Alligator mississippiensis: one gene and its partner. The protein of the gene in region 1 interacts with the protein of each later gene in a biochemical or structural test. Links are inferred from orthologs where the notes say so. Each region holds a gene or a part of one and is shown in the gene's direction. Other genes may lie near its edges. The genes, in order: PIAS2 and small ubiquitin-related modifier 3.

The links.
Region 2: the proteins of PIAS2 (region 1) and small ubiquitin-related modifier 3 form a complex in vitro, tested with the Homo sapiens proteins (2 studies listed by BioGRID, with this or other methods). The link is inferred for Alligator mississippiensis from reciprocal best matches to the Homo sapiens genes PIAS2 and SUMO3.

What each region holds. Positions count from the first base shown.
Region 1 is NC_081826.1:290,937,339-290,944,753, forward strand, and holds the start of PIAS2 (E3 SUMO-protein ligase PIAS2), read left to right. Parts: upstream 1-4,181; 5' UTR 4,182-4,253; intron 4,254-4,264; exon of another isoform or gene 4,265-4,986; 5' UTR 4,987-5,095; coding exon 5,096-5,215; intron 5,216-7,415. Other genes in the region: KATNAL2 (katanin p60 ATPase-containing subunit A-like 2), read right to left, coding at 82-132. UniProt on the Homo sapiens protein: Functions as an E3-type small ubiquitin-like modifier (SUMO) ligase, stabilizing the interaction between UBE2I and the substrate, and as a SUMO-tethering factor.
Region 2 is NC_081830.1:33,435,908-33,443,162, reverse strand, and holds the start of small ubiquitin-related modifier 3, read left to right. Parts: upstream 1-4,100; 5' UTR 4,101-4,194; coding exon 4,195-4,215; intron 4,216-7,255. UniProt on the Homo sapiens protein: Ubiquitin-like protein which can be covalently attached to target lysines either as a monomer or as a lysine-linked polymer. Does not seem to be involved in protein degradation and may function as an antagonist of ubiquitin in the degradation process.

The sequences.
Region 1 (7,415 bases):
GCATGCGCACACGAATAGCCCGCCTGTCTCCATAGTGACGGGGAAGCACAGTTAGCTCCTCCCCCCCGCGCGCGCACTCACCGCCTCCTTGACCTGGTAGGCGGCTTTCAGGGTCTGGTACGACAGCTCCATGGCGGGGAGGTACCGCTCCGCCGCGGGTTGACGGGTACGAGCCGCGGACACATTCGCTACCCTCACTGTTGAGGGGGAGATGGGCGGGGACGGGTGTATGCCGCTGACCAATCAGAGCGTGGGGGGTGGGACTTGACTGCAGCACTGACTAAACAGAACGGGGGACTGTCGGAAGAGGCGTCCAATCGTAGGCCGCCAAAGGAAAAAAAAAAAAAAGCGGCGTGCTGGAAGAATTTAACCAATCAGCATTTAGGGGAGACGGGGTGCTGAACGGACCAATCAGGAGGAGGAAGAGAGACCGGCGAAGGCAAGCGACGTTGCGCGCGTGCCAAGGACTTTAAGTTTGCGCATGCGCGGAGGTGATAGGTGACGTCATGGCTCCTGCCTTCAGGTCTCTTATTTTGCATCCAGCAATACAATGCTGCTGGGTGGACTGAGGGCGAAGTCGGTCTTGATCAACCTGTTTGGCTTCCCCATTACAGAAGGAAGCGCCTGAGACAACAGCAGGTGTTTCTAAGCCTTTAAAAATAAAAAAAAGGAAGGTTCAAAACCTGTTCATACAATTGCAAGATGATGTCAGGTCTTCACATTTGCAGATGCTTGTTCATTTCTGAAAAAAGTTTGCTTTGGGGCTGGAACGGTTCATAGTGGGTCTCAGCCCAAAGGTTGGGGGAATCTAGATCTACTTCCCATGAAAAATAATGCAGTCCTTTTGGTTGAGCTACATCTGGCAACATGACATTTTGCAGTTTGCAATTTTGAATGTGTAAGTAGTATGCACTGAGCAGGGTCTCAGCACCATGTAAAAGCAAATATGTTAATAAAGATTTGAATCCTATATAGGCAACCAAGAAGTAAACCTCTTGGAAAGGAAATCAGAGAGCATTCAAGTTAGTTTGTGGTCATCAGCAGGGCCTGATAAGGCCAATGTTGTAAAACCACAGCATTTTCTTCTTTCTAGACAGACTTTCTTTCTGTTGCTACTAGGTAATATTATGTGCAGTTTAAAATATACTGCTAAGTGCTCTCCAGCAACCCATACTTTCCCTCCCCTAAAAAAATAAATCTGGAGTCAGCCAAGCAACTCTTTTAGTCTTCAACAATTTTCATTTTATTCTACAAATTCTGATTTCTTTAAACTATTAAATTCAAGCATTTGAGTTGGTCTAATAAAAGAGATTGGATTTACCCGAAGAACCCTGGCTGCCTGATTCGAGCAGACACATGTACATGTACTCAAACACAAGAACAGCCCCATCGGCTTTAAGAGAACTGCTTAGTTTAAGCAAGCACACGTATGTTTGATTTAAACTTCTATTTTTTTCCTCATGAGAAGAAAAGGTAAACAGCACATTAATGTATTGCTGCCTCGTTAATGTAGCCATAGGAAAAATGTAACTCAATTCAAGCAAATAGAGTGGACCAGCCACAAGTACAAAGCAGTTTAACCAGTTAACTGGTTAAAAATATGATTCCACTCAAGTCAACATGTTCTCTCATCTAAGTTCAAGTAAAGTGAACTTGGAAGCTTAATTAGGACCTCATAAACACTAATATTAAGCAAAGAAATTTCTATTTACCATTAAACAGCTGTGTACATATGAATGTCATATTGAAAGAAATAGTTTGAATGTTTGTAAAGGTTGCCCATTAGCCAGTTTCAGGAAGAAGATAAGATTTATCTCCTTATCTAGTTAATTGTTTTGGGACTACGTGCAAAAGGTCCTGACTTTGCTTAAAGTCTTAATTTGAATCTTTTAGAAGTCTTTTACAAAGAGAGCAAATATCCTGAATTCCGAGAGATCAAACCCTAAGGCCTTTTGACCAGATTGGTAAGAAAAGGGCATTTGCAGTGATATGGAAGTTTCCCAAAGGTAATTTAAAATGCTCAACAAAGGCAAAAGAATCTGCTGAGTAAGATCCGAGCCCAAATTTGGGGGTAATGACAGATTGAGTAGGAGGAGCCCACTGATGGCACCTCACTCAATAAAAACTGTAACTTACTGTCCCAATTTGGAGGTGACTATACTTGTAGAACAATGAAGGAAGAATCGCAAGTGTAGCCCGGGTCAGACTGATCACCTGAACTAACCTCTCCGTGAACACGAATCTCTTAGTTCACGCTAAAGCTGCAGAGCACCCAAAAAGGACTGAAAGAAGGGGACTTAGTCCTATCAGTATTGAGGCCAGCCTATTGAATTGTATTGCTGAGGCGAGCCCATTCCATTGAACCGTACTACTGAGGCCAACCCATTAAATCGTACTACTGAGGAATGAAACCATATTTTGGTATTTGGCTTCTCGGAATTCTAGGATTGTAAGTATAATATGAAAAATAATAGTATTGATTCAAATTTAACTTTTAGTTGTAATTGTAGTTGTTTTTGTAACACTAATTCTTATAGTATTGTTTGGGAAGGAAGTGCATTCGGAGCATTGTTTCTGATATATGTAATTATTGTGTTTTTAATGTTTGTGGTGTTTCTTAAAGCCAAGCAGTGTTATATACGTAGCAAAGAGTTTTAAAATAAAACTGTGTTGTATAAATTAAGTGTGTAAACATTGTGAAATCGTGCAATCAGTTAACTACTCCCCCAGCCAGTGCATCAAAACGAATCAGTAAATTGTGTGGGATTTTCTCTATTCCATAACCCACTAGAGACAATGAAAAAGGCAACAGACTTATTACCTAGTGTGCATCAATGTGAAGGTTTAAAGATTAAAATCAAACACAAGACAAAAGTTTAATACTCAACAGTAACTTAACTTGGCCCAGATTACACATATATATGTTTTATTGGATAAATTGAATAAATAGGTATGTCTTCCTTTGGCCTTAAATCCAGGTTGCGTTAGAGAAAACAAACCAAGCTGTTTAAAAGAATGGTTTGTGTACAATTAGTAATCACCAGCTAAACCATATTATTACTTAGATTTAAATATTCTCTTGCTGTTTGCACCCAAAACTTTGCAGCTGTGCGCTGGTTCATGGGGACAGGAAAGTAAAATTATTCTATTCTATTTCATTATCAAAGCACAGCAGAGTACAAAATAGGCATTGGACAGATTCAGTATTGTTCTTAGCTTTTCCACAGGTAATAATTAGAAGGTAACAGCTACTACCCTTTGATTTCAACTTAATGCAGGTCCATCCCCTTATATTTCTTTTCCATGTCCAAGTGTTGCTGTTCTACTCGGCACAAGGGTCTGTCATGCCAGGAATAAGGCATCTTTGCAAATGAATGTATATCCAACAAAAATCAAAAGCTTTCTTCTGCTACAAATAACAGAAACAAAATTTGTTTCAGCCAAAGCACAAACTGACAATATAACCCATGAGCCAGATTACCCATGGCATAACACCTTGTGCAATAATTAAGACTTTGATGTTCAAAGGTACTATTTGGAATCAATGGCGGTTAGATGCCCAAGTACTTTTAAAAACCTGGTTCTAATACTGACTAAAGTGGGTGTTAAGAGCTACCTCATTACAATTCTCCTCTCACTTTCATTGTTTCAATGGCTCTGCAAGGTAATGAAGATCTGACCCAGAGCTTGCAGCTTCAAGCCTTTATGTTAAACAGCACATATGAACTCCCCCGTTTGAGTGCTCCATTTAGCCGCCATGGCTGCTTGTTAACATTCATCCTCCATACACTAGTTAATCTGAAGAAGCCAAAATGGGATCATGGAGGAATCTAATTTGTTGAAATGCTAGGACCAGCTATAGAGTTTTGACTATCTGGGTAGAACATGGGACTACAAAGCACTCAAAATGCCTCAGAAGTATGAGCTTTTGTAGGCAACAACCTACTTCATCAGATAGGCACAAGGGTATTCCTAGCATCTGATTAGGTAGGTTATTGCTTACAAAATTCATGCCTCTCTCAATCAGTTTGTTTCTAAAGTGCCACCTTGTCCTATCTTCTGTCTAACTTCAGACTAGTGATTTTCAACCACAATACTACAAAGTCCTTTGATAGATGCTGCAGGTGTGAGAAGATAAGCAAATAAGGGCAGGATCAGGCTTCAGGTGTGAAGAGAAAAGTAGATAAGGGCAGGCTCAGAGCCCTTCTATTTTGCCACTTCCTAGCCTGTGCTCTTGGTCCCTCTGCAAGGAGGTAAGCTGTGATAAGCTAGTTATTGAGAAGGGGTGCTGCTCAGTTCACAAAGGTTATGGAGGGGACCTAAAAAAAGTTTGAAAGCTGTTGCTTTAGACTAATGCATCTTGTTGTTTCTGATGATCTGAGATAAGGTTTTGACCCTGGTTTGTAGGCATTACACAAGGCTTATTTATACTGTTACATATCAGGGTTTTCTTTGACAATAAGGCTGTGGAACAGTCCACAGTATACACGCAGATATGGCTTAAGTTCTTAGAACAGCAATTCTCAACCAGGGTATTGCAGCAGCCCAGGGTGCTTTGAGATGCTTTCAAGGTTGCTGTGAAGTACCATGCAATGTTAGCACTATTAGATGTGCAATTATGCTTCACAATATAAACACAGAGACTTCAAACAGAAATCCAGTGTTAAAAAAAAGTCTGACCTGTTGTGAGATTTTTTGAGCCCTTTACAGTAGACAAATAGTCTTTTTTCTATAGTCAAAAAACAAGTGAAAACTAAGAGCTGGCACTTTCTGATGAGTGCCTGGAGTCTAATGAAGGGCACTGTTTAAAAAATGAATAAATAAATAAAAAGGTTGAGTGCTGCCTTAAATTATTAGAGACTTAAGGAAACTAGCATTTTTCTGGTAACAAGCCTACTTCTACAGGCACACTGCTTAAATAAGCTCAGCTTTTTGCTTTGAAAAAGTTGTACTAAAAAAAAAACACAAAAAAAACCAATTCTGCAGGTGTTGCCCATCTGTCAGTAAAGGGCACTAAGTGGCTACCTCAAAATGAGAGAGTTCTTGGGTGCTGGCACCTTTCTCCTCCTGCTGTGAACCCTTCATTGCAAGGTCTATGAAAACAGAGAGGGTCAACCATGTAAGAGATGTTCCTCGGGGTGCACGCAAGACCTACAGGAGGAGGAGAATCCACAAGAAGAAATGGAAGAAGCTGCCAAAAAACCCAACATATGAGGTGAGCATATTTAAAGTTCTGGAGCGTGGGAGTGATACAGGGCTGGCCTTGGGGAATATGGTGCTCTAGGCAAGCTTGTATTTCCCCAGCTTCTGCCCCCTAGTCGGTGGTGCTGCTGCAGGCAGAGGCAAAAGGGCAAGGGTGTGGGGTGCAGTCTGGCAGGGAGGCAGAGTGGCATGGTGCATCAGGCAATTAGTGTACTGTGGCTACCACCTGGGAGCAAAGCAGGTGCCATCCCACTGGCACATGCCTAGCTTGGCTTCTTCTGAGCAGTGACTGGAGACAGGTGGTAGGCTGGGCTGGGCAGTGCTCCTCCTGCCTGGAACAGGAATTGGGTGGGGTAGGGGGAGAGCCCTGCTCTGAACATGAGCTGCTCACTTACGTGTATGTGAGGCTCCCCTCCAACCATGCCTGCCTACCTGCAAGGCTGGCCTGGAGTGATGGATCAGGAAGGCGGCTGATGTCCTGGTAGATTGTTATGCATGGCTGGATAATTTGCCTGTTAGCTGTTTGTGGGATCTGTCTTTGCTTCCTATTTTAATAAATTGGTTGTTTGGTTTAACAGCACTATTGGCAATGAAAGTGAATGTTGTGACTAGGTAATTACCTCTGGCTGCTTTTGAAAATACACTTCTCAGCTGCACTTCCACATTTGTTTTTTTTCCACCTCAACATTTGTTTTTTTTCTGTAAATGTCTCAGCATTTCCCTTGCAGCATGAAACCCATTATCTAGTTTTAAAGTTTACCTCCAGTGACATTTTTGCTTCATTTTTTATTAATAAAACGTGTGACACTATCATTATTTGTTCTGCAGTGAAAATGCACCTGGTTAAATAGATAAAACGAAGATTGCTGTAGCATTGTTTGATAAGTCCAGCTTTTAAATATTACACTCCAACCATGGAAGCAGGGATGTTTGCTGTTTTATCTTCTCACATTAATGAAATATTATTACTTGGTTGAAAAACAACTATGCATCAGTTGAAAGACACAGTGCTATATGAAATAATAATGTCTTTTTTTTTTTTTTCTTCCCCCCCCCCCCCCCCCCGTCTAACACCAGCTCTGGCACTGCCTTCCTGAGACCGTGGGCAGTTATGTAGGTCCAGATCCTGAAAATAACATTTCTCCTTGCAGTTGAACATGAGCACCTGAATTGCATTTAAGACTGCAATTACTGTCCTGGAAACCTCTACTCTGTTTCTGCCTAAACCCAGAGACACTTGCGTTCTGTAGGTGCCTTGGTCTTTGATAGCATTGCCAACTCTGTTTGACTCTATTCCAGGAGGTTTCATCACACGACGTACCGACATTAATACACTACGCAGTGTATGTAGTTAGTCAACTAAAGAGATGACGCGAACGTGCCTGCTTGCATATATGTTACGGATTACGGTGTATAGACTTGGTCAGGAAGGGAAATGCACACTACTGTTACGCTTTAGAAACCCACTGGGCTACTGTATAAATCAGATTCAACTTTTAATATTAATTTTAATGAATGCCCTATCACTTATTTCCTGGGTGACTCCCAGCAGTCTCCTGGAGGCGTAGATCCAATTCCTGGGGGTTCCAGGGCAGTCTTGGAGGGCTAGCAACCCTCGTCTTTGTCACGGCTCCGCTTTGGTGCGGGCCTACAAAAACCTCAGGGCTGAGAGAAGTTTGACAGCCGTCTCCAACCTAAACCAGGTTGGGGTGCAGGAACTGGTAATCCCCCACCTCGCTTTCCCTAAGGGCCCCATTTTGGTCCTTTGGAGAGAGCCTGACCGATCAGGCTCCGTATAACATGCAGACGTGGTCACGGTTTCCTTTATAAGATGACCCTATCATCCCCTGCCCTCCGACCTGCTGCTCCGTAATCGAAGCGCTCGCCCAGGCTCAACAATAGGTTGGTACCAGGGCCGGACACGCCAGGCGGCTGCCTGCAGCCAGGACAGAAAGGGGGCCTGAAAGTTGCAATTGTTTTCTATTGTTCTACTATTATTAATAATCTCTCTGGTGAAGGGGGACCTAATACTAAAAGTTTGCCTGTAGGATTGGATTACCAAACTTGCCTGTAAGTGTGCCTGGGGCTGCCAGGAGTGGAGGCTAGCACGGCACTCCTCTGCCAGGGCACCCTGGGGTGCTGCCGGCTCCTGTGAAGGGTGCAGCGAGGTGAGATGAATGGATAAAGCCAGGCCCTGCCTGAAGGATCCCCGA
Region 2 (7,255 bases), on another chromosome or scaffold:
CTTTTACCCACCTTTCTTGCAGTTAAGCCCGCAATCCTCCAATTTTCTCGTGAGAACATCATAGGATACCAGATCAAGATTTTTGGAAGTCAAGGTATACAGACAGTATCAACCTCCTCTCTCTTATCCAGGGGTGAGTTACCTGATTATAAAAGGAGATGAGGTTGATACAACAAGATCCACCCACTCAGAAGCCTACCTTCTGTAAGCCTATAACACATACATGCATATTTCACCCCAGGTGGAACTTAAACCCACAGTCCTTGGCTTAGGAGACCAGTGCCTTATCCATTAGGCCAGTAAGGCTTACACTGTAATTTAGAAAGCTATTTTCCATTTGTCACCATCTCTTATTCTTACCAGGCTATATGCTCCACTGCAATCACATTTAGTGACTATGCAAGCAGCCTTTAAGCAATCTGGTAGCTCAGGATTTAGAGCAAGGGCAGGCGATTATTTTGGGCAGAGGGCTGCTTACTGAGTTTTGGCAAGCCATTGAGGGCTGCATGACAGGCAGCCCAGGGCAAATAAATATTAATTTTCTAAATTTTTTAGGGGCCCCACGGGCTGGATAGAATGGCAGGCTGAATCTGGTCCCCGGGCCGCATTTTGCCCACCCCTGGTTTAGAGGTAGGGACAGTACTGATTTTGGGTGGTGATTTTCCAGGGCCTGATAGTCTACAATGAGGCAGAGGCTCCTGTCCTTTCTGATGAACAAGATAGGGACCCTGGCAAGAGATATGTATTTTCTTATAAACTCCCAGGCCGGGCTCTCCTGAAGGCGGGGGCAGATCCGGGGGTGGGGTGGGGTGGGGTGGGGGCGACAAAGTGATACAGTTGCACCCCTCTTTCATTCCTGCTCCACCCAAATTCTAGCTAAAAACCTTAACTCAGGTGTGGTAATATTAATTCAGGTTAATAAGGAAATGACTGACAGTAAAGTATTGGAGGCACTGGCAGGCCACTCAAGAAGGCTAGCTTTGGTTTACAAAACTGAGTAAGAAATGTATATTTAACTGCAATGACTAAAGGGCTAATGAAATAATATCTTTTGACTATTTTTTACCTAGTTTGTGGTATCTTTTAAAACTTTATACAGAATCTAGCAAATCAGTGCAGTCTAATAGTTTTATTTGTTTTTGCTTTGGCCTTAAACTAAATAATATACTGCTAGCCCTTTAGTATATTAGTAAAGCATCTAATTCCTCTTTAACTGGAGAAAAATGTGTGTTGCATTATACATGCTAATCAGTCACACCATCTGCACCCCTTTTCAAAATCCTAGATCTGCCCATGCCTGAAGGTACTCTCAGAGGGCAGCTAGTTCCTGCTCAGACATAGTGTAGAGTGGTCCACTGAGATCCTAGGCTGTAAGACAATGGTGCAGTTGTAGACACAGTGTGGGAGGGAGGAGGAACTTCAGCAGGTTTTTAATCAAAAACAGCTGCATAATGTTGGGGTAGGTCAGATCTTGCTGCAAGAGACAGAGCTCCTTGTAGGACAGTATCTGTTGGGATACATAGTTAGCTGTGTTAGTCTGAAGTCAAGCAGAATCCTTAAAGGACTAACTATACTGAGAATATATATATGCATAAACCAACTCATGTAAGCTTATGCTATATTATAGAAATGTATTTATTTTAAGGTTCAAATCTACCTTGCTATCTGTTAGGATTCTAGCCTGAAATCATAGGGTGGGTCAACCATCCAAGGCTTTTAAGTGTTTCCTGCAAAAACTGGATGTAAAACACCTCATAGCTTTTCCACTGGACCAGGGGACCATAACAGGCAAGCCAGAAGGATCTCAGGATCAGGGAGTAATGTGGGATCAGACTGCCCCAAAGCAAAGTTTCCCTGTGTTTGCAGATTTCCACATCAAGGGTGAGGGTTTCCAACTCCAAGGAGCCTGATGAAAGAGGGGAGCTAGAAATGGTCTCAACTATTCCCAGCCTGAGCTGTTATGAAGGGATACGTAAGGCTTGGACAATGGTTTCATTAATGACATTTCTAGTTGCCCCGAAGTCCGGTAGGGTAGATAATACCAGCTGTAAAACAGGCTCAGCCTGTGATCTGCAGGTGAACAGGTAACCTTATCTGAAAGGTCTGCAGTTTGATTTGGCTACAGGTTTCACCTTTATTGCTGACCCCAAGTCAATACCCCTTGCAGGGCTGAGTGAGAGGAGGTGGAGGCATGTTTCCCTTCTTGTAGGGCAGTAGGCAAGCACATGTCCTGATGTCCCACAATAGAAGCACAAATTGTGCTGGCAGTGTCATTCCCACTTGCTCAGGGTAAGGTGGCAGTCCTCCCCCATCTACCAGCACAGGTTTAAGAGCAGAGGACGGGGACAAGGAGAAGACAAAGAGTACCTCTTTTCTTCTTTCCTTTTCTGTAGAGTGCAAGACTGAGAATGCAGATCACTAAATCCACAAAGTCACGAGGTTTGGAGGGCACTTCCCCTAGGCAAGGTCAGCCTTTACCTCTTCTCATGGACCCTATCAGAATTAGTAGAATTCAGCTGCTGTTGCAGTTGGTGTCTGCCACGTAGCGCTAGAACAGAAAAGCATCATCAGCAGCTGCACTCTACTCCTTGTAGAAGTTCCACAATGCAGACTCTGCTGTACAGCCCCAGTGGGGCTCACCGTTGTACATAGCTGCAATGGCTTGGAGAAATGCCTCCCAGTTCTAGAGGACTGGGCTGCTATGCTCCAGGAACAGGGAGACCTGGACCAAGGCTTCCCTCAACAGGAGGTCTATCACAAGGTTCACTTTTGCTTGGTCACTAGAATAAGCTCTGGGCTGTGCCAGAAATAAGAGACAGCATTGATCGAGGAATCCCAAGAAATGCTGCTGGTTCACATCGTACCTTTTGGGTAACGGTCTCAAGCTCAGGGTTCCAGGTGGGCCCAGAATGCGCGCTCTTCTCTCAGCTGCCACGTTTCCTCCAACCAGGAGCTCTCCTGAAGACAGGCAACTGGGGATTGAAGGGTCTGGTGTGCAGTAGTCAACTGCAGCAAGTGAAGCTCCAAGGCTTGTCAGATAGAGGCAAGCTGAATCAGCCACTTCTGCATGGCCTGTAGGTCTCCTGGAGAATTGGCATCTAAAGCAGGTGGGTCTGAGAGCACCACCAGGGGAGAAGCATCCATAACAGGCCCTCTTCGCCAAAGAGTAGTCCAGGCAGATTGGCAGCATCAGGTCACGGGTGACTAGACCTGGAGACCGACTGGAGATCAAGGTTACCATAAGTGGGCGCATAGGAAAGTGGGAGAGGGCAAGCAGAACACAGAGGCAAGCCAGGAAATTAAAAGGAGAGAAAAGTCCACGAGCAAGCCGAGCCACGGAAACCAGACCATTAGAGTGGCATCTGCAAGCATGAGCCAGAAAAGCAGACGGCCAAGAACTGAGGGTGCAGGCTGAGATCAGAAGCCTCGTTAGCCAGATGCTCCCTGCAAGCTTATGGTAGGAGCCAGCAGCTCAGGTGTCAGCATCGGGGCTCTGGCACTGATGGGACTTTTGGAAGGCCTCATCTGCGTTTAGGACCAGCGGCAGTGGGGCAGAGGGCCATGCTGGCCGACGGGGATCTAGGCCTTTAGGTGTGACGCACACACAACAGGGGAGTCTTAACAGCACCCAGCGGCTGCCCCGACTCTGCCCGCAGGCGCAACACACCGCGTCCGCCGCGTGCAAGACTGAAAGGGCCCCTGCAGGCTGCGACAACTCCGGGCTACGCGAGGTGCCGCGTGCCCGCCATGAGCCTGCCCGGCGCGCGCTGGTGCCGCCCTGCAGGCCAGCTCGGTGCCTAGCTCGTACGGGTTGAGGCCACCAGGCCCTACCGGGGAGGAAGTGGCAGATACACGCGCGCCGGAAAGGCCGCGGTGGGGGGAGGGGACGTGCCAGTTGCCGCCCCTCCCCCACCCAGCTGCGCCGGCCGCCGCAGCGCCGCTTCCGGCCCCGCGCTGACGCACTTCCCCGCGCTACCTGCCCCTGCCCCCGCCCCCGCCCGGGCGCGCTCCCGCCGGGCAGCTGGCTCGCGAGCGCGCCTCGTGAGCGCGCCCCGACCCCACGTGGCCCCGCCGGCTCCAATCAGGGCCCGGGGATTTGGGTGTGGGGGAGGGGTGACGCGCGCTCTCGCCAGCGGCTGCGGCGGGAGAGAAGCGGGAGCCGCGAGCGCCATCGCCCCCCTCAGCGCCGGCGCCATGGCCGAGGAGAAGCCCAAGGTAACGGCGCGGGCGGCCCCGGCTCCTCCCTGCCCCGGGGCCGCGCGGGCCCACCCGGGAGGCGGGTCCCGCCGGGCCGCGGGGGGCGGGGCGGGGCGGCGCCGCGTTCGAACGGCCGTTGGGGCCGTTAGGGCCTTTGGGCCGGGCCGGCCGCTTCGCTCCCCTCTGCGTCCGCGGCCCCCGGCCCGCCCAGGCCGCAGGAGCCGGAGCCCCGCGGGGCAGCGGGCGCGGGAAGCGCGCGCAGGAGCAGGTGTCCCGACCTCGCAGTCACGGGCCCGGCTCCGCAGCTCGGGGGGGGGCTCCTGGCTGCCTCCCCCGGGCAATTGGAGATGGCCCGTGCAGCTCCCTTCCTGCCCTGCTGCTCTAGGGCACCAACACTCGTGGTCCTGCAGAGCCCGGGTCAGCCTTGAGGGATGAGCAGCTGCACGGTGTCAGGCTTGAGTCTTCGTTATGGGTCTCCCATGCAGTGATGGCTGTTGGTGCTGCTTTGCCTCAGACTAACCCTGAAACCTTCAGTTCTGTGCGAATTAGAGGAGTCCGTGGAGGCCAGGGGGCATTGCTCGAAGCTGGCATCAGGGGGCTGCCGAGGTAGCACTCTTGAGTTGAATTAAATGGTACTTGGCGGTGGACCTCGTGGAGATCAATGGAGCAGGTGTCATCTTTCAGAAAGCTTACTCTTGAATGAGAAGAGCAAGGGATGGGGCTCCCGCCTTTCCAGGGTTAGGTTAAATCTTCCTGCTGTTGTGATCTGCAGAGATCCCCGAACTTGATGCTGCAGACCGTGCGTGTTACTATCCGAACAGTTGTTCTTAAGTAGGTGGTGCGTGGTATCGTGCCCGGCAGTGCTCCTTGTTGGGGTGATGGAGGGGCTCTGCCCCATCCTGAAACCTTCATCATTCCTTCTGAGAGCCCACTTTGAACCGTCATTTCTTCCTTCGCTGGGCACTTGGCTGATGAGGTGTCCTCATCTGTAAAAGAAAACAGTCTAACAGTAACTTACATTTGGTGGAGTGAAAAGGATGAAAAGTTTAAGCCAGTGTCGGCAGGGGTTTGTGGCAGGGAGCCAGAATGGCCCAGCTTGGCTCTGAGATGAGATGGGCTGGTGCTAGGACCAGGCCACCACCCCGGCAGCCACCTGTGCTCTGCCACTGCTTTTCCTTGCATGTGCTGCAGCTCAGCAAGGTGTAGGAAAGCCTCTTGCTGGCTGGCCACAGTGCAGTACGGCCTAACGTGGACAAGTCCTAGCCAACAAGGCCACAACTCAGGCATAGCACTTCCTTTCTTTCTTACCCACCCTCCACATAAGGGCTCAGGGCAACTTACAAGCGAAGAAACGCATTAAAATATGAACACAACAAAATAATCCCCTCCCCCAAATTCAAAAGCAATCCGTCTCCATACAGCCTTTTCACTACCCAGTGACTGAGGAGAACTGGGGAGTGAATTGAATACTTCCATAAAAGAAAATAATTCCCCTCCTCCCTTCCCGCAGTTTATTCTCCCTCTGGGAGGGATGGGGAGATTTGTTTTTTTCAGGACATCCACATACTCTCTCCCTTTCCCCCCTGAGAAAGTACATTGTTCTTTTTTTTTTTTTTTTTTAAACCTCCCCTCTTTCTTCTGCCTTAATCCCAGCCAAAACGTAATGATAGAGGATGCCCTTTGTTTGGTAGCATCCTTTTGGAAGCTCTGGTGGTTGAAACTTGCCTTTGAATCCCTGTCGGAGAACTCATTGTCTGAAGAATTCTTTAGTGCTTTTTTTGTTGGAGGTCACCTGAAAAATAATGCCACCAAAGGGAACTTTAATAAAAACATCCATCTATTGCTTGCAGACTCGTATGCTTTAATAAGCTAGAATGTTGCAGTGAAGAGGCCTTGGTCAGGAACTTGTTAATATACATATTATAAACAGGCTGGACTTCACAGAGAGTAGGGTTTTTTTTCTTGATTCTTTTTGGCCAGTCTACTTACGTGCACAGAGCAGGTGATGCAGTCGTACAAGTGGAGATTGCGGACTTAAAGTCCTTGTGTAGGACGATATGCAAGTATCAAAAGCCCGGATTCTGTGAGCTTTTGAACTTTCATTTCCCAAAATCTTCATCCGTCCTTGCTCCATCCATGGGGGAAGAAAGACTTCCTAAACTGGAGGAACCAAGAGGACCCAGGAGCACTGGATTGGCTTTATTAAGCTCTACAAGTACAGCTGTTGTGCTGTGCTTCTGATCATTTTCTTCAAGTCTGGATTGGGTTATTCTATCTGCAGTCATCATCTAGAGAGAATTTTAGAAAAGACTGCTGCATGCCTTGGGTTCATCTTGCAAGAATTTTGAGCAGGTTGCACCTGGCAAGGTGGGCCCTGGGATGACTGTGCCTTTTTCAAGAAAGAGTAAAATCCCACGTTTGTAATGGCAGAGGAAGTAACCTGAATTGTTGGTCTGGGCTGAGACTTATTCACTGACTTTGTCCTGTGCTGGTAACTCAAGTGAATGTTTCTAGTGAAAAAGGAAATAGTTGAAGACCAGGGAAATAGGAGAGAAACTAAAAGTATAACAGGAAGTCAGTGAAAATATAACTAGGTAAAATTGGAAAACAAAAGGTAAAGCAGGGAAGGGAGGGGGGGAAAGGCCAAAGGAAAACACTACAGTGGTAATAATACAAGGTAAGGAAGAGGCTGTCAATGAAAAGGGAAATAGTTGGAAATCAGGAAGACAAAGGCAGCAAAGTAAGGGAAGGAAGAATGTAAAGGGTCAGGTCAGGCAGGTACCAGGTGAGTCAGATATCAGGCAGGTTGTAATGCGTCATGAATCCAGTGTCTGTATTGAGTCCATGATTTTTTTTGTATCCAGTAGATTTATGAAGTGGGGTTCATAGGCTCTTCTATGAAAGTTGTTTTGTAAGTTCCCTTTGTTAGAAATGTCATCTAGGCGAATACCAGTGCTATCACAAAGTAGGCCGGAGAGTGTTGTGATGTCAGAAATTTTTGTTTGTAATGGTCCTGTTTAGTTTAAATGCATTTTAATTGTTCAGGCTTCCAGAAAAT